Arabidopsis thaliana: one gene and its partners. The protein of the gene in region 1 interacts with the protein of each later gene in a pairwise test. Each region holds a gene or a part of one and is shown in the gene's direction. Other genes may lie near its edges. The genes, in order: AT5G57345, GPT, AT1G14020 and AT3G66654.

What was found.
Region 2: the proteins of AT5G57345 (region 1) and GPT interact in a protein complementation assay, tested with the Arabidopsis thaliana proteins (one large-scale study listed by BioGRID).
Region 3: the proteins of AT5G57345 (region 1) and AT1G14020 interact in a protein complementation assay, tested with the Arabidopsis thaliana proteins (one large-scale study listed by BioGRID).
Region 4: the proteins of AT5G57345 (region 1) and AT3G66654 interact in a protein complementation assay, tested with the Arabidopsis thaliana proteins (one large-scale study listed by BioGRID).

The regions. Positions count from the first base shown.
Region 1 is NC_003076.8:23,228,498-23,233,153, reverse strand, and holds AT5G57345 (uncharacterized protein), read left to right. Parts: upstream 1-2,404; 5' UTR 2,405-2,566; coding exon 2,567-2,724; intron 2,725-2,811; coding exon 2,812-2,982; intron 2,983-3,354; coding exon 3,355-3,592; 3' UTR 3,593-3,863; downstream 3,864-4,656. Other genes in the region: HA3 (H[+]-ATPase 3), read left to right, coding at 1-145, 241-479, 575-607, 694-775, 856-1,016, 1,089-1,262, 1,334-1,516, 1,602-1,783 and 1 more; AT5G57340 (ras guanine nucleotide exchange factor Q-like protein), read right to left, coding at 4,060-4,536.
Region 2 is NC_003071.7:17,299,703-17,305,197, forward strand, and holds GPT (UDP-glcnac-adolichol phosphate glcnac-1-p-transferase), read left to right. Parts: upstream 1-1,869; 5' UTR 1,870-2,059; coding exon 2,060-2,442; intron 2,443-2,520; coding exon 2,521-2,608; intron 2,609-2,696; coding exon 2,697-2,788; intron 2,789-2,877; coding exon 2,878-2,996; intron 2,997-3,104; coding exon 3,105-3,220; intron 3,221-3,309; coding exon 3,310-3,437; intron 3,438-3,531; coding exon 3,532-3,618; intron 3,619-3,782; coding exon 3,783-3,843; intron 3,844-3,937; coding exon 3,938-3,978; intron 3,979-4,060; coding exon 4,061-4,181; intron 4,182-4,268; coding exon 4,269-4,328; 3' UTR 4,329-4,509; downstream 4,510-5,495. Other genes in the region: LIS (WD-40 repeat family protein / small nuclear ribonucleoprotein Prp4p-like protein), read right to left, coding at 4,617-4,808, 4,912-5,109, 5,212-5,495.
Region 3 is NC_003070.9:4,800,559-4,806,060, forward strand, and holds AT1G14020 (O-fucosyltransferase family protein), read left to right. Parts: upstream 1-2,161; 5' UTR 2,162-2,371; coding exon 2,372-2,630; intron 2,631-2,710; coding exon 2,711-2,778; intron 2,779-2,863; coding exon 2,864-2,952; intron 2,953-3,044; coding exon 3,045-3,207; intron 3,208-3,314; coding exon 3,315-3,604; intron 3,605-3,693; coding exon 3,694-3,898; intron 3,899-4,005; coding exon 4,006-4,163; intron 4,164-4,285; coding exon 4,286-4,553; 3' UTR 4,554-4,817; downstream 4,818-5,502. Other genes in the region: AT1G14010 (emp24/gp25L/p24 family/GOLD family protein), read right to left, coding at 68-144, 731-940, 1,026-1,232; LSMT-L (Rubisco methyltransferase family protein), read right to left, coding at 4,935-5,150, 5,231-5,502. UniProt on the Arabidopsis thaliana protein: Glycosyltransferase involved in the formation of rhamnogalacturonan I (RG-I) oligosaccharides in the seed coat mucilage, which is a specialized cell wall with abundant RG-I. Transfers the rhamnose residue from UDP-beta-L-rhamnose to RG-I oligosaccharides.
Region 4 is NC_003074.8:2,086,019-2,091,795, forward strand, and holds AT3G66654 (Cyclophilin-like peptidyl-prolyl cis-trans isomerase family protein), read left to right. Parts: upstream 1-1,897; 5' UTR 1,898-2,165; exon of another isoform or gene 2,166-2,630; 5' UTR 2,631-2,675; coding exon 2,676-2,827; intron 2,828-2,943; coding exon 2,944-2,989; intron 2,990-3,113; coding exon 3,114-3,164; intron 3,165-3,337; coding exon 3,338-3,423; intron 3,424-3,720; coding exon 3,721-3,858; intron 3,859-3,955; coding exon 3,956-4,106; intron 4,107-4,192; coding exon 4,193-4,279; 3' UTR 4,280-4,523; downstream 4,524-5,777. Other genes in the region: AT3G66652 (fip1 motif-containing protein), read left to right, coding at 1-945, 1,191-1,538; AGL91 (AGAMOUS-like 91), read right to left, coding at 5,244-5,777. UniProt on the Arabidopsis thaliana protein: PPIases accelerate the folding of proteins. It catalyzes the cis-trans isomerization of proline imidic peptide bonds in oligopeptides.

The DNA.
Region 1 (4,656 bases):
AAAGAGACAGGACGTAGACTTGGAATGGGATCAAACATGTACCCATCCTCTTCTTTACTCGGTAAACACAAAGACGAAGCCATGGCTCACATTCCTGTTGAGGATTTGATTGAGAAAGCTGATGGCTTTGCTGGAGTCTTCCCAGGTTTGTTTAAGAGCCATTTTTGTTTCCACAAACACAAACTTGCTCTTCTCTCTGTAACATTTGGTCTCTTTTTTTTCTTTACCAAATTCATTCAGAGCACAAATACGAAATTGTGAAGAAGTTGCAAGAAAGGAAGCATATCTGTGGTATGACTGGAGATGGAGTGAATGACGCTCCAGCATTGAAGAAAGCGGATATAGGTATCGCTGTGGCGGATGCAACTGACGCTGCACGAGGTGCTTCTGATATTGTCCTCACCGAGCCAGGTCTCAGTGTGATCATCAGCGCGGTTCTAACCAGTAGAGCCATCTTCCAGAGAATGAAGAACTACACAGTGAGTGTTCTCTTAATCTTAAACCATAACCTTTTTAGAATCTTTACACCATGATAACTTGTTCTCATGGTGTTTTTAAATGTTCCTTTAAACAGATATATGCAGTCTCAATTACCATTCGTATAGTGGTAAGTAATCAATCTTGTATGTATTCTTGAATATCATCAAATAATCTCTTTTTCTATATGATTTCTCACTTTGTGCCTTTTCACAGTTTGGGTTTATGCTCATTGCTCTAATATGGAAGTTCGACTTTTCACCATTCATGGTTTTGATCATTGCTATATTAAACGATGGTGAGTTTTTTTCTTCTCTTTAAAAGCTCTCTCTAAATTTTGGCTCTAATCGACTAACACATCATTAACTTACGCAACAGGAACCATCATGACTATCTCAAAGGACAGAGTCAAGCCTTCTCCAACACCAGATAGCTGGAAACTCAAAGAAATCTTCGCAACCGGCGTTGTTCTTGGAGGCTACATGGCTATAATGACTGTTGTTTTCTTCTGGGCCGCATACAAAACCGATTTCTTCCCGGTATGTAACATATAAACAACCTCTCTTTAGATTCCTTGTCACACAAGCATTAACTTTGTTTGTTTCCTATAGAGAACATTCCACGTGAGAGACTTGAGAGGCAGTGAACATGAGATGATGTCTGCTTTATACTTACAAGTCAGTATTGTGAGCCAAGCTCTTATATTCGTCACTCGATCTAGAAGCTGGTCTTTTACAGAACGACCTGGATATTTCTTGCTAATTGCTTTCTGGGTAGCACAATTGGTAAGCATTGTATCTTCTTGATTGATTATAAACTCTCTTGAATGATTGATTCATAAACTTTGACCTTGTAGATTGCAACGGCTATTGCGGTTTACGGTAATTGGGAATTTGCAAGAATCAAAGGAATAGGATGGGGATGGGCTGGAGTAATCTGGCTTTACAGTATTGTCTTCTACTTTCCATTAGACATAATGAAATTCGCAATCCGTTACATACTAGCCGGAACAGCCTGGAAGAATATCATTGACAACAGGGTACGTTTTGCTTTCTTCTTAGTTCTTCTTCTGAAATGTGATTTTAAGACTTAAACAAAATCTCTCTGTGTCTTTGAAAAAACAGACTGCGTTTACCACTAAGCAAAACTATGGAATAGAGGAGAGGGAAGCACAATGGGCTCATGCACAAAGGACTTTACACGGTCTTCAGAACACTGAAACAGCCAACGTTGTCCCGGAGAGAGGTGGTTACAGAGAACTGTCTGAGATTGCAAATCAAGCCAAGAGACGAGCTGAGATCGCAAGGTAAATGATTTGTAAAAAGTAATTTCGGTTTCTTGTGAGAGAAGTTAACGTTAGGGTTTTTGTTTACAGGCTTAGGGAACTTCATACGCTTAAAGGACATGTAGAGTCAGTGGTGAAGCTAAAGGGACTAGACATTGAGACAGCTGGTCACTACACCGTTTAATAAAGATTTAACAAGAAGATGATTAAGGAAGAAGAAGATCCTTTTGTTTAAGAGATGATAATGATGATGATTTTATAACAAGAGAATAAGGTTTTTTTTCTGTGTATGTTAAGTTCCTCTAAACTCCTGGGGTTTTTCTTCCTTCCTTATTCATGGTTTTAGACTTTAATTATAACCATGTGTTTTTGTTTCCCCTCTCTTGAATAAAAAAGAGAAGATACTAATATCATAGGTTTAATACGTTTATGTTTTATAAAAGTTCAATAGATATTGTTTTTGGATATTATGTGAACATAACAATATTTATAAATTCACCTTTCAATTTTCTTATGAGATGATATCATCTTTACTACTTAAAATATCTTCTAATTAAACCAAAAGCAGATTTAGGTCCGGTTAGATGAATAACCGGTTCGATTAATTTCGTCAGACCGATTTGATCCGTGGATATCATTAATCCGTGGAATACATGTGTGTTCTTGAGTAGGCCACTAGTTATAATCCACGTGGCAAGCATTTTATCACAAACCCAGAGCTACAAAAACAAAACCAAGAAGACGAGAAGGATCTTTAACAGAGAAAAAAGAGCTTTAGACCAAATCACCAGAAACAAAACAAAAATGTATTTCGCCGCCATAGCTTCTTCACGACAAAGCTTTTTGTCAAACAATTTCAGTTTCCAACACAGTTTTAAACCCAAATCCAATGTTAACCTCACTCGTCCTAATTCAATCTGTTGTAAATCTTCACACCACGACGACGAAACTGATTCTTCTCGGTAATTTTTATTTACCTTTAGAAAATTTTTTTCCGATTCTAAACTCGGGTTTGGTCTTATTCAATCTTTTATTTATCTATTGATTAGGAAAAATGAAAATCAGCTGGCGAAGTTGGCAATCGCGACGCTAGCGGTTGGCGTTTTGGCTTTGGGAAGTGTTGGGGATGCGTTTGCGGCCAAAAGCGGTGGAAGAATCGGCGGTCAAGCGTTTCGGTCTTCAGCTCCTCGTCCTCCTCCCAGAATTAACAATCGATCAAGGTAAAATTTTTTACTTGAAGCTCTAATCTCGATTTTAATTATTTAATATGTATATGATTAAAATACTGGCGAAAAAAGTATATATTTAAATTAAGACCTTAATTGAGATTTCTTACAAGAGACTCCATGTATGGGCTTTTAGCAGCCTCATATCCACATTAAAGCCCATTAGTAAACTTTAAGCCTCTTATAATTTTCTATTACACTTTATATTTTGAACCCCATAATTACAATTCGAATCCAAGATACCCCAACGACCAACACTAATAACTTGATTCAATGCATTAGGCTTTTCTGTTTGCATTATATAATCACGACTTTAGTCTTAGTAGTTAGTACCTTTGCATTCTAAACGCAGCTTTGTTTTCGCAGGACCAACATCTACGTGAATCCTCAGGTTGCACCACCTTTGATCGGTGGCTATGGATATGGTTACGGAGGTTACGGATGGTCACCGTTTTCCTTTTTTGCCCCTGGTCCTGCGGTGGCAGTAGGTGTTGGCGGTGGCTTTGACCTCCTACTTCTCTTCATGTTTTTTGGAGCCGCTTCAGCCGTCGCTAGAAACTTTTTCCGATCAAGAAATGATGAAGATGACGAAGACGACTATTAGAGGAGAAAACGGAGAGAGGCTTATGTAACAATAGTCATACATACGATTTTGTGTAAAAAAATATGATGGAAGAAGACGGATATATGTGGAAATCTTGAAATAAGTAACTAAAGACCCATCTTAAAGTTAATAGAGGCAATTTGAAAACACCTCCAAATACTAAATTTATATACAAATTTTCTCTGTTTTTCCTTCATTCTTTATATTTTAGGTTCTAGTGTATGACCTCATTGGTCTCCGAAAGCAAGTGAAAATAAATTCTTTAAGCAACCAAATATAAAGAAAACATTGGTATATTTTGTCAATGGTTTATCAGTGTTAACGAAGAAGAATAATTAGACCTAGCTAAAAGTGAAATCAGTAAATCTCGTAAATAATAATAACGATAAATCAGATACAAAAAGAAAATAAAAAAATCAAGAAGAAGACGAAGAAGAAAAAAGAAAGAGTCAGTGAATTAACAAAAATCAAGAAGAGGTTCGGTTAATACTAAGTCCTTGAAAGAGCCAATGAGGTCTCTTCTTCTCTCGATCCAACGACGTCGTACTTGAGCTGCTCATAGGCGTGTTTGGTCCGCTACTTTCTTGGTTATTATTGCTGTTATTATATAGATTATTATTGCTCTGATTATTACAATTATCCGATGATGATCTCATTGACGTTGTTGACGAGTAGTCCATGTCCTTGTTCGTTGTCGTGGTCATAGTAGTAGATGAAGAAGACAATCCAATGCTCAATGTCAATTCGAGTTCGCTCTCTTCGATATGATCCGTCGTCGTTTGTGTTGCTCTAACCACATTTTCGAGGTCTATGCCTGAACAACTTCCGGTTCTCTCTCTTGAACCGGGTTGGTCTTTGTTGTTAACAGTCCAATATTGGCTTCTATGTTTGAGTTGAGTCATCATCATTTTCTGTGTATTATATACTCTATGTAGCTCTCGTACCTGCGATTATCACTTTGTTATGCTATGGATAATTATTAATTTAAAGCTAATTTGCTATGGATAACCTGAATCGGTCCAAGAATCTAAACTAAAGTAAAAGACAACCGATTGAAAAAAACT
Region 2 (5,495 bases), on another chromosome or scaffold:
CAATTTAACTATCTATTTCATAAAAAACTCGATTTTAATTTTACACACTTCATCTTACTTGATAATGATTTCATGTCAAAATAATATATATATATAAGATCAAATCTATATCTTAGTTAATATTAAAAATTATTAACAATTAACAAAACATAATTCATAATAATAAAACATTTGTTAATACCATATATATTAAAAATTTGACCAATAACATATATATATATTTTTTTTGTTAATTTTCCTTTTGGTTAAGAAAAATAAAATGTAATATTTTTTAGATATAGAAATATGAATTAGTATATGTTAATAATGATTTCTTTTTTTAGTTTTCTATTTCTTTAAGAAAAAAAAAGTTAATTATTTTCTTACACATGGCAACATCTGATCGATAGACTTGACACGTGGCATAATCTTATGAGTTAGTAACTTTGAAAACCATACTTTATATAATAAGATTTTTTTTTGTTAATTTTTCTTTTGGTTAAGAAAAATAAAATGTAATATTTTTTAGATATAGAAATATGAATTAGTATATGTTAATAATGATTTATTTTTTAGTTTTCTATTTCTTTAAGAAGAAAAAAGTTAATTAATTTATTTTTTAGTATTTCTATTTCTTTAAGAAGAAAATGGTTAATTATTTTCTTACACATGGCAACATCTGATCGATAGACTTGACACGTGGCATAATCTTATGAGTTAATAACTTTGAAAACCATATTTTATATAATAAGATGTTGATTTATTCTTACTTTTTTTGCTATATCTTTCCTTATATTTCATACTTAATATTTTTTTTTTGTTTCTAAGATACATACATTAACTCTCATATTTATTGTCTTAACTAAATTTTACTTTTATTTGTACACGTGGCTTCCCCCCACAATATTTTTGACCCAAATCCAAAAAAAAAAAAACACTATCAATAATATTTCCTCTTACCATTTATGTCTTACACACAAGTGTCAAAATATAGTAGAAGACATAGAAAATGTTTAGATTATGATTAAATATCACAAAACTTTTGTGACATAAATCATGATCCATATGCATCCAAGTTCTAATAATAGGTCGATTCGATCTTGTAAAAAAAAAAAGTAATTAATAGTAAAAGATTTTGTATTGAATTTTGAGATATTTTTCTCTCACTATAAAAAGATGAATTGTGTAGCTAGAGATCATAACAAACTCTGAGGAGATTCAAGCTAAGGTACATTTACAAAAACTTATTTTAAATTACAATGGGTTGTTGCATTTTCGAAACTGATCCTACAGACCAATAAGTACTATTCAGTTAATTTGAAAACACTTACAAAAAAAACTAAGATATAATTTAGCAACTTTAACATTTTTTATTATGTTTGTAGGGACATTAATGGGAAACTGGTGTAGTTGTGTAACAAAAGATGAAAATAGTGATAATTCTAGTAGCTCTCAAACTTCTACGGATAAAGAAAGTAGTGTGCAAGTTTCTTCTGTGAGCACTACGTCTTCTTCAGAGATTTCATCTGAATGTTCTTCTTCAAAATGATCATCTCAAAGCTCCCAATGATGGAAGCGTAACTAGTGAGCAAATGTCGCATGGATCATCTTCTTCATCTTATCAATAAAAAAATCTTCAAAATAAATAATTTTCTATGTCAATTTTTATATTAAAAGAAACTTTGTTAAAAATTATGACTATTAATTAATAACTATATTATTACATAATCTTTTAAATATAAGTTTTAGTTTTAATTTTTAATAGTTGCTTTATGTCATGCTGATGTGTTGCTACAACAAAATTCTTAGCAAAATTTATGCATTTTTTTCTTAAAAAAAGAGAGTTCTATAAGTATAATCCAAGATATATTCTTGTACTTAATACGAATAATTAAAGTTATGATTAATCCATAAAGTTCTATTTCGATGACACGGTGTCGTATTTGAAGCGACGTGGCAAATCCTTATTGGTCTATATGACGCAGAACGGGAATTGCTCTGAAGAATCCTTTCTCAGGCGAACGGAGTTTGGAGTCAAAATCCAGAGCGCGGGGAAACGAAACGAGCCAACAAATCCGCCATGGCAGCTCGTAAGAGAGCTTCATCGATCTCAATTCCCAACAAACCGGACCCGTCGGAACCCAACTCAGCGCCATCGGAGCAGAAGATGACCCGAAAGACGGTTTCTGCTTCCGGTGAGGAATTTCGTCTCGCGCCGCCGAAATTAGGAGTGATCTTCGTGATCTCTACTCTTCTCTGTTCGCTCTATCTATACCTTCTCTGTTTTCACTACAAGGTTGATAATGAGCTCAAGCGATCGATTCTAATTAACGCGGGGCTTAGCTTGGTTGGGTTTTTCGTCACTCTCAAAATGATTCCTGTTACTGCCAGATACGTTCTGAGACGTAACATGTTTGGTTTTGATATCAACAAAAGAGGCACGCCTCAAGGAGATATTAAAGTGTGAGTTTTTATCAATCTCTGATTTTCCAAAGATTAAGATTAGTTTGATTAAAATTTCTTCATCCTCTTTGTTTTCAGGCCAGAGTCATTGGGTATTGTTGTTGGTATTGTCTTTTTGATCGTGGCGATAATATTTCAGTATTTTAACTTCACTGAAGATTCTAATGTAAGTGTGCATTAACGTCTTGTTTTATTAATCTCTGTGGTTATTCTCATTATCAATGTTTGTGAGTCTGGCTGATGATTCTGTGCAGTGGCTTGTGGAGTATAATGCAGCACTAGCATCTATTTGCTTCATGATTTTGCTTGGATTTGTAGATGATGTCCTTGATGTGCCTTGGAGAGTGTAAGTCCTAATTCCTACATATTTTTTTGATGAAATTCACGCTTATCGTTTTTGATTCACATGTTTACTGTTGTCAATTTAAACAACAGAAAGCTTGTCCTGCCATCTTTTGCTACCCTTCCACTTTTGATGGCTTATGCTGGTCATACAACTATTGTTATACCAAAACCTCTTGTTGCTTATATTGGCTTGGAAGTGCTTAATCTAGGTAATGGTTCTTGTACATGATACCACCTATTTGTACACATTGACTTGTATTTTTCTTTTGAGGAGGTAAATGATTATGATTAGCTCAATAGATGTTTTAACGTGGCAGGAAGGATATATAAGTTATATATGGGGCTACTTGCTGTCTTTTGTACAAACTCTATTAACATCCACGCTGGTCTGAATGGCCTTGAAATCGGTCAAACAGTTGTTATTGCCGCTGCTGTAAGTCTTATGGTCATACATAATGTCTCTGAATTTTTCTCATTTTGTTTCTTTTGGGTTGAGATATGATGCATCCCAGTTACCTGTAGATCCTGATACACAACGTTATGCAAATCGGAGCATCTGTTGATCCCGAGTATCACCAAGCTCATGCCTTCTCGATATTTCTTACTCAACCGCTGATGGCCACATCCTTGGCAATGCTTGCTTACAATTGGTAAAATCCCTAGCAGGCTTTCTCTTTAAAACTTTTTTTTTTTGAGTGGAAGTAATGATATTTCTGACCAGTTCTCGCAATCTTCTGCTGTTAGGTATCCTTCTTCAGTTTTTGTTGGAGACACTTACACAGTCTTCGCCGGAATGACTATGGCAGTTGTTGGTATTCTGGGTCACTTCAGGTATACTTCCAAACCCACTTATCTTCTCTGAGGCACAGGCACTTCACTAATACATGGAAACTACCAACTCTTAGATTGATCATTTGCATCATATATCCAGCTACTGTATGACCATGCAACTGATTCCCATGCCATCTTTCTGTATTGAAATTTTGCTTCTGCAGTGAAACCCTCCTCATCTTCTTTCTTCCTCAAGTTCTGAACTTTCTATTATCGCTTCCTCAGGTTCATATCACCTTTTCACTCTTCTATGGCATACGTATAATCTTGTCAACTCATGTTTCAAAAATTTAACATACTATATATGATAACTCTTCAGCTTGCTGGGATTGTGAAATGTCCGCGCCATCGTCTCCCAAGGTAACCCCCTTTGTTTTCTTACCCTTTGTAGACTGATTAAAGAACAGACGCATCACTCATCTTGTCTTTTGAAAATATCCAGGTATGATCCTGCTACCGGATTACTGACCGGCACAAAAGATGGGACACTCGTCAATGTTTACTTGAGGTTGTTTGGTCCTAAATCAGAAAAGTCTCTTTGCATCCATCTTCTCGTTTTCCAGGTAGGTCTCAGATATATGTATATCGCCATTCGTATATAATGAAGTAGTCGCTTTAGTGTTGTCATACTCTGCTTGTTTTTGCTACAGGCTCTAGCCTGCGCCTTCTGCTTCATACTTCGACACTTTCTTGCTGGTTGGTATAAATAGTCTGCAATCAGAGAAGTCACAAATACAGAACATTACTTTAGTACCTTGTACAATCGTATATATCAACAATTTTTGTTAACGTGTTGAAGTATTCTCAAGTAAACAAAGTTCATTCATTTGCTTTTTGTTGAACGAAATGGCAAAATTTTCAAGACAATGTATCAGCATCCTGAGTTTCTATAATTCCCGACAAGAGATCAAATACAATTTAATGAGTTTCTCTAACAAGCTAATCTCGAAATCCCTAGATCCCAAGTTTTTTTTCTTGCACAAACATGAAAAATGAAACTAGAGATCTATGTCCATTGTTTCTTTCTCTTCGTCTTCATCATCATTTCCACTGCTTGTCCATAGCTTGATGGTGCGATCATGTGATACAGTAGCGATACACGAGCTATCTGCTGTGATATCTAGAGAGGCGACTTTTGACTCATGCCCTGCTAAGCTTTTAACGAGCGAGAAATCTCTTCCTGACCATATCTGGTAGACAAAATATAAGAAATTGGAATCAAACTATAAGCCAATGAAACAGAAGACTGAAAAAAAAAAAAATACTAAGGCAAGGGATTATAGAAGTAGTTACATTGACTTTCATGTCGTATGAGGCAGTGGCCAGAAAGTAGCCTTCTTGTGGCTCATACTTCACTTGAGACACAAGGTTAGCATGAGCTGGTATAATGTACAATGACTTTCTCATTCTTAGATCCCAAATACGGCATTGATTATCCTCCCCACCAGATGCCAAGTGATAACCATTAGGAGAGAAATTCACGGAGAAAACCTGAAGAAACATATAAAACAGAGGATATTAAAACAAGGGTTAGTAAATAATCACTTTTGCTTGGATACGAGGAGGACCAATGGAACAAAATTAGAATCTTACCGGTTTGATGTGTCCTTGGAAGACAAGAATACTCCTACCAGTGCGGAGATCCCAAACTCGTGCGAGTGAATCAAGCCCACAAGAAGCTGCTAATGCTCCATCTTGTTGAAATGCAATTCCGTAGACACTGCGGCTATGGCCTTCTTGCAAAAGCAGTTCTGCTCCTGTGTTTATATCCCACAATCTCCACGTCTTGTCATAGCTTGTAGTTCCCAGGTATTTCCCTGATGGGTGGAAAGCAACACGTGCCAGACGATCCAAATGACCTTCAAACGTTTGTAGGA
Region 3 (5,502 bases), on another chromosome or scaffold:
GAGTTTTGATTCACTCTCATCCTCTGATCAAGTGACTTCAAGGGAAGACAGGTTTTGTTGTCATTACCTGTCGCGGAGATAGAACATCTCATCGTGGATTCCATTCACGGTTTCAAATAACTTCTTAACCTCAAACTCCATCGTCTGGCCAATAAATAAAACAAGATCCAACCATAACAAGGTTAACAAAACATTCCTTCAAAAACTCTGCAATCTCTTTAAGAGGCTATGTTACATTTCAAGCTAGTCTTGCTCTGTAGTATGTTAAAGCCTAGTCCTATCTACCACATTTCAAGATAGTAATTTTCTGCGTCTGTTAAAGCCTAGTCCTATCCACCTTCATTTAGCAGGGAAAGAACTCCTGAATGAGCTGAAGAAATCGATGGGGTTCAAAGGTGAAACTAATGAAGCTATTTTCTCATATGCAAGACTGCAGACACAGGTCAGTAACACACGAGCCCTGTCAGCTTAATTCATGGCCTTGTTCTAACCAAACCAATGCACCAACATAACCTATAAACCAAGACTACATAGCATTTCTCACTTCAGATATAACTTTCCACTTTCCAGCACTATGTCTTGGTGTAACTTAGGCAGCTATCAAATTCTCACACATCCGGCGCAATGCTCTATTGTTCATGTCATTAGAAGCATCAAAATCTATTTCCTCTAAAGAGATTAGTTTGACTAAGTTAAGACTTCAAGAGTAAAGAAAAAGCGAAAAACTTACTTCGACTTGGCTCTTCTTTGCCACATTCGACCAATCCTTGGTATGAATACCCGTCCTCCAATCAAAGTCAATGATCAGCGTCGTCTCTGGTTTGTGATCGACGGCGGAGAAGCAACTTATGTAATCCCCTGTTTCCACAGCTACAAACGAGAATTGTCCCGATTCTACTCCGTCCGATTCGTGATAAGCCGTCCCTTGTGGCGATGTGACCTTAAAAATCAAACACATTGCATTATACTGAAATCGCCGGAAGAAGAAATTGAAGGGAAATGCGATCCGATCGGATGATTATTACCCTGACGGTGACTTTATGGGAAGAAGGAAGAGGATGATCCTCGTGAGGGTTTATAATGCTGTATTTTCCGATGGTCATTGCGTTTGCGTGAATCTCCTCTGAGATGCATTTCGTGTGCCCAGAAAGTAGCTCGTATCGTATAGAGAGTGTCACGGGAGATAAAATTGAGAGGATCAATAGTACGATCGAGCTCCGACGATGATTCATGACGGCTCCGATATAGAGAGAAATCGATCTGACGGATTTCAAAGTTTAGCTATTTTTCTTGTTAAACGGAAGGAAGGAAACAAAAGAAAGTCAACACGTGCATTGCCACGTGTTAGTATTTCATTCGTTAAAACACGTGGAGTACTACCCTCTGGAATTGGGCTTTAAAATTAAGGCCCATTAATAATGTTGGACCTATATACTTGTAGTGGATCACACTAAAGTAAGTTAGAAGTAAATAAAGAAACAAATAACACATCCAGATTTTATAATTCAAGCATAACTACATATGACTTGGTAATGTTAATTTTAAACTTAATTGGGAAATTTTGTTGAAAAGACAATTGTACTCGAGTTTTTAGTAAAGAATAAAATAGTAATCTTTCCTTGGAAGGGATGTTAATAATGCAACATTGAGGTACGTGTCATGATTTCGTTTCAGTTTTTGTTTTGTTTTACAACAGCTTGAAAATATCTGAATAAAGGAGATGAATATAAACAGTGGTTTGAATCGTGATTAGTGCAATAAATAGATGACAGTAATAAAAAAAGTACGGGAGAACAATTAGGTGAATCCGTTGACGAATGACAACGACTATCAAAAAGGCAAAATGTGTCATCTTTCTTTATATGTTTTTCAATGTTGAATATTCTTGAAATCTTTATTTATCATATGTTTTTCTGATCAATCATTATCCTTGAAACCTATTTTTTTTTTTTTTTGGTTATAGAATAATCTTTGACATTTAATGATATATATAATGAAACAAGTTAGGAAAATTGAAGCTTTCTGAATTAGGAAATAAATTGTGTAAGCAATAGAATGAGTTTCTTGGGAAAACAATAAATAGAAGAAGAAGAAGACACTTTGACGGTTAATTAACTTATTTTCCCATCTCTCACCGTTACCACCTCTTTTTTTTTTTTTTCCGTCTCGTGATTTTTTTTTCTTCTTCTGAATTTCGAAAGAAAAAAAAACTCCTCGAGATTCAAACCATTTGACACAAAGGAGAGAAGAAGCATTTCATTTCGCGTTTGTCATCTAATTTCAATTTCTGACATCTCACAAGATCGGAGAAATTTAGGTTATAGTAATTTTATTCTCATGAAGCGGCGACGACGATCGTCGGAGGAGGGAGATGGAAGTTAGATCGGAGAGTAATATTACTCAGGCGCGAAGCGATAAGCTTCCGCTTCCGCCGGCAGTTCCGAAGCCTCGTGTACAAGTATGGTTCGTTAGAGTTTGCTCCAGCATTTTGGTTTGGACGTGTTTGGTTCAGCTTTTCGCCGCCGGTGAGCTTTGGCATTCCCGGATCTTCACTGGTTTAACCAATCAGATTTCTAGATTCTCAGCCCCTGTTGAGCCAGTTCCATTGCCACCTCCTCTACCTCCTCCGAGTCAGTTTTCTCTCTATTTAGGGGACATTAGGGTTCGTTGGTGCTTGAGAGAGTTTAACGAGATTGTTGATTTTGTGCAGGGAATTATACAAGCAATGGTATTCTACTTGTATCCTGTAATGGTGGATTGAATCAAATGCGATCCGCGGTTGGTGACTTTGCTTTAATTCTCTTTTTCTTCTTCTTTCAGATTTGATGTTTTTCCAAATTCTGATTTTTATGTTGTGTTTCAGATATGTGATATGGTGACTGTTGCTCGGTTATTGAATCTCACTCTCGTTGTTCCAGAGCTTGACAAAACATCTTTCTGGGCTGATCCTAGGTACTCTATCTTTGGTGTTTATAGAATCACTCATGTGTCTTATATGCTTAACATTTTTTAGCAATCTAAAGTATCCTCATTTTTGTTTGCAGTGGTTTTGAGGATATTTTTGATGTGAGACATTTCATTGATTCATTAAGAGATGAAGTTCGGATCTTAAGGAGGCTTCCTAAACGGTTTAGTAGAAAGTATGGATATCAAATGTTCGAAATGCCTCCTGTGAGCTGGTCTGATGAAAAATATTACTTGAAGCAGGTTTGTCTTGTTTATCACTAGTTTTGCTGTTTTGGTTCCTTTGACTATCCTTGTTACAAGATATTACCTAACCATTTGCATATGTGATTGGTTAATTTCTTGTTCAGGTATTGCCTCTCTTCAGCAAGCATAAAGTTGTACACTTCAATAGGACTGATACCCGCCTGGCAAACAATGGTCTTCCGCTCTCTCTCCAGTGGCTCAGGTGCCGGGTGAATTTTCAGGGACTAAAGTTCACTCCACAGCTTGAGGCTTTGGGATCTAAGTTAGTTCGGATTCTACAACAAAGAGGGCCATTTGTGGCTTTGCATCTGAGATATGAGATGGACATGTTAGCTTTCTCTGGCTGCACTCATGGTTGCACTGAGGAAGAAGCGGAAGAGCTAAAAAAGATGAGGTTTCTCTTCAAAAGATTTCTCCTGAATTGGTGCTCTGGTTATAGGTCTTTTTAGTTGTTAATTCATAGGTCCATTCTGTGTTCTTTAGGTACACATATCCCTGGTGGAGAGAGAAGGAGATAGTCTCAGAGGAGAGGAGGGCGCAAGGGCTGTGTCCTTTGACGCCAGAGGAGGTGGCCTTGGTATTAAAAGCGTTGGGATTTGAGAAAAATACACAGATATACATTGCAGCTGGTGAGATTTATGGGAGCGAGCATAGACTATCCGTGTTAAGGGAAGCATTCCCGAGAATTGTGAGTCTACCAGTCCTGGTTTCCCTTTTCTTGCTACAAAGAATGCTCAACTGCATCGTCATTACAATGCACTTTTTCTTATCAGTTTTACTCACCTGTGGTTATAGGTAAAGAAGGAAATGCTATTGGAGTCAGCAGAGCTGCAACAGTTTCAGAACCATTCGTCTCAAATGGCTGCTCTAGATTTCATGGTATCTGTGGCCAGCAACACTTTTATTCCTACGTATGATGGAAACATGGCAAAAGTCGTGGAAGGTCATCGTAGGTAAATTATTTGTGGTGTCGAATGCATTCAATTTCATGACAACTAAAAAGGTGGTGTTAAGAATAACCAAACCTGTGATTCTATATAACCATTATTGGTCTATATCTGATTTGAATTTGCAGATACCTTGGATATAAGAAGACAATCCTGCTTGACCGTAAGAGACTCGTGGAGCTACTAGACTTACATCACAACAAGACCCTCACGTGGGATCAGTTTGCAGTAGCAGTCAAGGAAGCCCATGAGAGACGAGCAGGAGCACCTACTCATCGAAGAGTAATCTCTGACAAACCTAAGGAGGAAGATTACTTCTACGCAAATCCTCAAGAATGTCTTTGTGAAGGTACAAATTGCCACGACCTGTTTGGCCATAGAAATTTAACACATTGAAGTCATGTTTTTAGCATATTATATCTCATTGCTTCCGCAAGAGGACGGCATGTCAAACACTTGAACGGGAGCTGCATAGTTCCTTCCCTGAGTTTTTCCATTTTTGTTTGTAATTTTTTTCAATTTTCCTGCATAGTTGCTGATCTTGATTTATTTAGTTTTACGTAAATTAAGATGTAACTAAAAAGAAGATTATGTCTCATCTTATAGAATTTCAAAAAGCCTGCTTTTGGCAATAGCCTAACATACAAATTGTGGTCTCTCAACTCTGATGTCTTGAGGTTGATTCAAGTCTATGTGGTCTGAGACCAAACCAGTAAAGATTTTCTTTCTAGCCTTGAGTTTGTTCTGCAGGATAAGCTATACAAGCTAAGCTAATTCTCACTTGGTTTCCCAGAAGATAATATCCCCTTGTTCGCCAACCAACCCAAGATCTTTGAGCCTTCTCTCTTGGTAATACTCTAAAATGTCAAGTTCAAGCTCTCTATCCTTGAAGATTTGGTCGATTTGCTGAAGCACTCTCTTCTCACCAATCCTTATCTTGAGAGCCATTTCCAACCTAGGCTCAAGCTTTCCTTTGTCCAGAAGCTTCTCATCCTACAACAGACGATGAAGACGAGTAAGAAATGAGTGTTAAGCTGCAAAGACAGTACAAGTAAGAGCTCGAACATATATACCTCTTCAATGGTCGTATCAAAACCAGACAGAGCAGATTTGCAGGCATCTCTGACAACACGGCATATGAGTTCCTCGTTTGTACGACTTACAGGCAATTCAAGATGACCCCATATGGTGTTATTGAAGATAGATTCTAATAAGAAAGCATCTGGACCGCCAAGAGCCACAAGCCGAAGGTACTGAAGCATACCAGCGGGAAGAGTCTGGCCGTCTACTATGTCAAAGTATCCGGTCTCACCCATCTTGTTACTCTCAGCAATATCCAACTTAT
Region 4 (5,777 bases), on another chromosome or scaffold:
GAAAGAAGTCCTATCCGAGCATATGAAAACTACAAAGAAAGAAATGGGTGTGATTGGCTAAGAGAACCTTATTATGAGGACTGTATACCGATTACTGACATGGATTATAGGTACCGGTCAGAGAACTCGTCTGCACATGCAATACACAACCTCAAGCACAGTCCAGAGAATGATCTTTATTGCAGAAGAAGGGGTGGATACGATTATAATTTGCATCGTGATAGATATGAAGATGGAGTTCACAGGGTAGAAAGTAGAATTCCATTTGAGCTGGCGTACAGGGAGATGCGTTCTTTTGCTGAAGTGGAAATGAGAGAATATCAAGGGTATAAAAGACATGAGGAATTCTCTGAAATAGAGAAAAGACATCATTACATTCATGATTGGCATCTTGATAGATTTGTCTCAGAGGAAGATGGTTATAAGTATAGAATCCAAGATGGTTGGTCCTCACCGTCTTTATCTTTGAGAGATTCTTGGTATACCAAAGAAGCAAAAGGTGATTTCCGGAGAGATGATACCAGAGACTTCAGAACACCTGAAGCATATGACAGCCAGAATAACCATTTTCATAAGGCTGCACCGAGAGATGGCTGGACGCAGAATCTTGGTCGTAGCCATAATGTGAGCGTAAAAGATAGACTACAGTATGATGCTGATTGGGTTGGTCCTGATAGAGGAAGATATAATATGGCAGATGACATGCAATGTTCAATGAGAGAAGTTTCTAATTCTGAGCATCCATCATATACTGATGAGATATTTGTCCGCGACATAAGAGTACCGACACATAATCGGATGGCGACCAAACAAAGGTTTGGATATTTACAGAGCCATATTCATGAAAATGATGAAAGACATCACAGATCCAAGAAGCTGAGAGGAGATGGGCATGCTTTCATCAAGCGTCAGGATCATGTTGACTTAGCTGGTAGGCAAGGAAAGGTAAAGATTGGGAAACTAAATCTACATGCTTTTAAACCTATATTTGAATGAAGTATAAACGCCTTTCAGTTATTTATATCCCTGGATTTTCTTTGTGTTATTTCTGACTGTTTTATCACTTTATATGGTCTGTCTTCTATACTTAGGTTTTATGTTGCTCACATCCGTATATTTAGACATCAGTTAGTGTACAATGAAGAACAAGACCCTTCTCATGTGATAGATATTTTGTGTGTGTGTTTCAGGTCTCTAACCAATCAAAAAAAAGATTCTCCAATGGCGGAGATACAATCGAGCAACAAGATGTTCAGAAACCAAGAAAGTTAATGGGCAAAAGCGAAGAGAAAGCTATGCAGAATCGAGATATAAATGACAAAGAAGAAGGCGAGATAATAGAAGAAGTGAAAGGTGTTGAAATAGACAATGAACGTATACAAGAGAGTCTGAAAAAGATGGAGAAACGGAGGGAGAGGTTCAAGGGAACCAAATTGGCGGTAGAAGCGACATTCAAATCTCAAACTGAACTGAGAGCTAAAGCCGATGTTACTAATCAACAGAGGCCAGTTAGAAAGAGGAGATGGTGTGCAAGTTAAAAAGATCATATTGGATGGCTTGTTTCAGGTTAACACAATAACGGTTTATTGATGGTAGGCTATATCTAAACCGATCAATTAAAAAGTGGCTAAGAAAATCACAAAACCGAACAATTGACTGTGACCTGGGTTTTTTTAAGTGATCTTGCTTGTGCATTTTTTTTTTCCCTTTTGTAAGTGTTTACGTAGAAAATTTGACTTTTTTACCAATGCTTATTTATATTTACAGTTTAGTATGTGTAATGCAAAATCAAATGATGCAGCGAAGGATCAAACCAGTGACAATTAGGGCGGAAACCGTATGATTAACGTGATAACCACTAGACCATAGTAAAATTACTTTCTTTTGAATTTAGAATCATTTTCTTGGGTCAAATAGATAACCAGATAATTTCATGAGAAAACCAGACCGAACTATACGATTTTTCAAAAATGATCAACTTTTGTATTTTTGTTTGTGGAATAATATTCGTCGGATATTGGTGAGGTGGACTCGTAGCCGTCGGATAAACACGCGGCTGATCTGAAGCGTCTCTGCAAAAGAGAAAAGAGAGCAGAGAATTCAAACCAGTTTCCATCGACGCAACGACCAATCTCCACGATTCCTCTCTTCTCTCTAACTTCCAGGTACGTTTTTCGAGAACCCAATGAAGCAATCAAAGTCCTTGGAATTCATTTGATTTTACTTTCAGGTCTTTGGATTTCTATAGAAAGAAAGATCTGTTTATTATTTGATTGGAACATGATAAGCTGCTCCGTTTCTCATATCCACTTTTGTTCAATTTATTTCAATTTGATCGATAATTGGAAAAGTACTGGATCTGGTGTATCGGAAGTTACCGGTCAAGCTATGTATGAACCCTTGTGATATTTTCACATGCGTTTATTCATTCAAATATGCTAGATTTTTAATCTGGTCAATACGTGATATCAGGGTTTCTTCAGTTGGGTAACAACTTAATCTTATTGCAGTTTTGATTTTACCAACTTGAAATTGAATTATAGTCTTACAGATACGAATTTGGAGTTTTTGTGTAGTGTATACTTGTTTTCTGGATTGCTTGTCACTTACTGTTGATTTATGGTTTGCAGAGACAAGTTGTATCCCTCGTTTGCTTTCTGCGAAACTAAGGTGCAATGGCGAAGATAAAACCGCAGGCTCTTCTAAATCAAAGCAAGAAGAAGAAGGGTCCAAGTCGCATAAGTATTTCCACTATTATTGTCTGTAATCTTGTAGTTGCTGTAGTCATATTATCGTTGGTCACAACCTATCGCCATTGGTCCCAAAGGTTTGTTTTCATCTTTGAATTGTTCCTTTTTCATTACTTCTGTTATAGTAGATTCTCCTTTTACTTTATGTGATTATCTATAAACTAAAAAGGATATCATTGGTTATATCTCCTAGGTCAAGAAACACAATTGAACATGAAACTCGGAGTCAGAGATTTGAGGTATTTTCTTGAGAGATTTTTTAATGTATAGCTTTTGAGTTTTGATCCTGATGAACTTCCGAGCACTTAGGTTTAGAGTTTAGGGTATTTACCATATGTGATCTGGCTTTGGTTTCTGCTTCAGGACACTAATACTGCGTCAGGGCAAAAAACTTACGATCTTCCTGGTTTTGCTGTAAGTTAATCTCCCTGTTTGCTTGCTTAAGTTTCTTGTTTTAATCCTTGTTCTTATTTCTCATCATGGTATTATGTTCTGTTCATCAGTTTTTGAAGTAAAAAAAATGTGATGTGTCTTATCTGAATATTGATTTTAATGATATCTTGCTTCTATTTTCCTATCTCATGTAGGATATAAACACATCAAAAGGACTTATAACTGTCGAACTCTTCAAAGAAGGTTCCCCTGAAGTTGTGGACAAGTTTCTAGATCTATGGTTAGTATTGGAATTCGTTTGTTTTCCTTTAAGTTAGATAGAAAAAGAACAGTAGAGTAATTTGATTAAGCTAGGTCATGACTTGTTCTTAAATAGGAGTATTACTTCTAGCTTGATAGGATTCAAGTAGCTTTAGTTTCTTGATTGACTGATTTTGATCCTTAAGTCCTCTTGTACTCTTCTTGGAATTTTTGTTTGGAACATGAAACCTCATTAAAGAGAAATGGGCTGAATCAGTCTGTGACGATATTGTAGCTTAATATAATAGTAGAAGTTGAACATTGAGTATTGTTGCAGTCAAAAAGATCACTTCAAGGGAATGCCGTTTCAGCGGGTTATAAAGAACTACTTGGTACAAGCTGGTCACTCACCGAGCTCTATACCTGTAGAAGAATGGACAGCTAAAGGAAAGCTCAGAGGTCGCCTTCACATTGGGTATAACTTGCTTGCTCTGCTTTTGGCTTTTAAGTGTCAATGTTTATCATCTCTCGCTGGTTTTAAAAAATAAAAAACTACATATGTTCTGTTACAGCCCAAAACATGAGGCATTCATGTTGGGAACACCAAAAAACAAAGGGAACAACAAGGATTTTGAGCTTCTGATCACAACGGCCCCAATCCCGGATCTGAATGATCAACTTATAGTGTTTGGAAGAGTCCTTAAGGGAGAGGATGTAGTACAGGTTTGATCCAACTAAGCACAGTCTATCAGCTTGAATGGTTTGTTTAATAGTTTCATGTGTTAAAAGATTAAATCATATTATTACAGGAGATCGAAGAAGTGGATACGGATGAGCATTTCCAACCGAAATCGCCAATAGGGATCACTGGTGTTGTACTGAAACTAGAGACATGAAATGAAAATTTCTCTTCCTTGCTTCCTCTGTAAATGAGGCTCACGCCAAATCCTTCTTCATACTCGCTCTTTTGTATAAATCCTCTTTTGAGGTTTTTTCTTTCTTTCTATTTTACAGTTTCTTGTTGTTTTGTAATTTTATTTGATTTTTCTCGAGGAAATAGAATCTTTGTTTAATTATGCTTCTGATACTTGAGCAAATACATGAACTGATTTTAGAGAATTTTATCCTGTTATGATAGAAAAACTTCTGTATTATACCCGTTAAGTACCATAAAACTATTAGAGAAAAAGAGAGGTCTTTTAAAATTTATATGAGAAGATATGGAGAACAATCTGAAAAACCAGAAACAAATCCTTTAAGAATTCTTAAAAATCTCTACAAGATTTCTTTTAAAAACTCTAAAATAATTCTTAAACAATTCTTAAGGAATTCTTAAATTATTCATAGAATACAATTACAAAAATACTGTATTTTTGTTTTAGGTAATATTTAATAATTTGGAATAAGATATATAGGACATACATCAAATTATGTATTTTGATACTATTTTGACTAAAACTTAAAAATGTTAAAAACACATTTATAAATATGTTAATTAGTTGGTGTACTCTTATGTATTTTTTTCTAATTAAAGATAAATATCTAGAGTGTGTAGACAAAATCTATAATAATATAAGAGAAAAAAAAACAAATAACGCTTTAAAATTTCATATCGTAATCATTATCAATTTTGTAGAGTAGGAGATATTGTTATAATTCATTGTTTTTGAAAAGAGAAAATCTTCATAGTAATATTTGGCAACCGAAAGTTACAAACCATCGATCATCAAGAGGAAGATACAATCAATAAACCTGTACCAACCATCTGCTACATCTCTACCATATAAATCTATAACGACTAATACAAAATGAAAGTTCCAAATCGGTGTTGTTACTGTTGCCTTCTCATTTGCATAACTGCTAATTATCATTAGAGAGAAACATGAGAGAAGACGAAGCCTGCATATGACTAATGTTACTTTGGATCCCACAGCTTATTTTCTTAATCTTAGCCTCAAATTCCTTGAGTTCCTCAAGCGTAAGCTCCTCAATGGGCTTATTGAACTTATCCTGTTCAGCAGATTCAAGCCACTTGTGAAGATCTTCACCATGTTTCTTCTCAGCTTCAGCTTCTTCAGTAATCGAGTTGAGGCGTTTACATATCTTCTTCTCCTGTCTAGCTCTATTGCCTCTACTATAGCCTGATGTTTCACAGCTATCTCCTTCTTCTTCTTCTTCGAATTCATTCTTAAACCGTTCTGCAATCACATCAAAATTCGGTTTCCCGAAGGAATACGGTTTGTTTCCTGGAGAAAAGACAACAATACCAACCTCCGCGTTGCACAGAGTCGCAAGCTCGCTCGCTTTCTTGAACAAACCCAGCCTACGTTTTGAGAAGGTAACTTGCTTCGTGTTTGTGTCTTGCACTTTCTCCATCTTAATCTTTCTCCTACC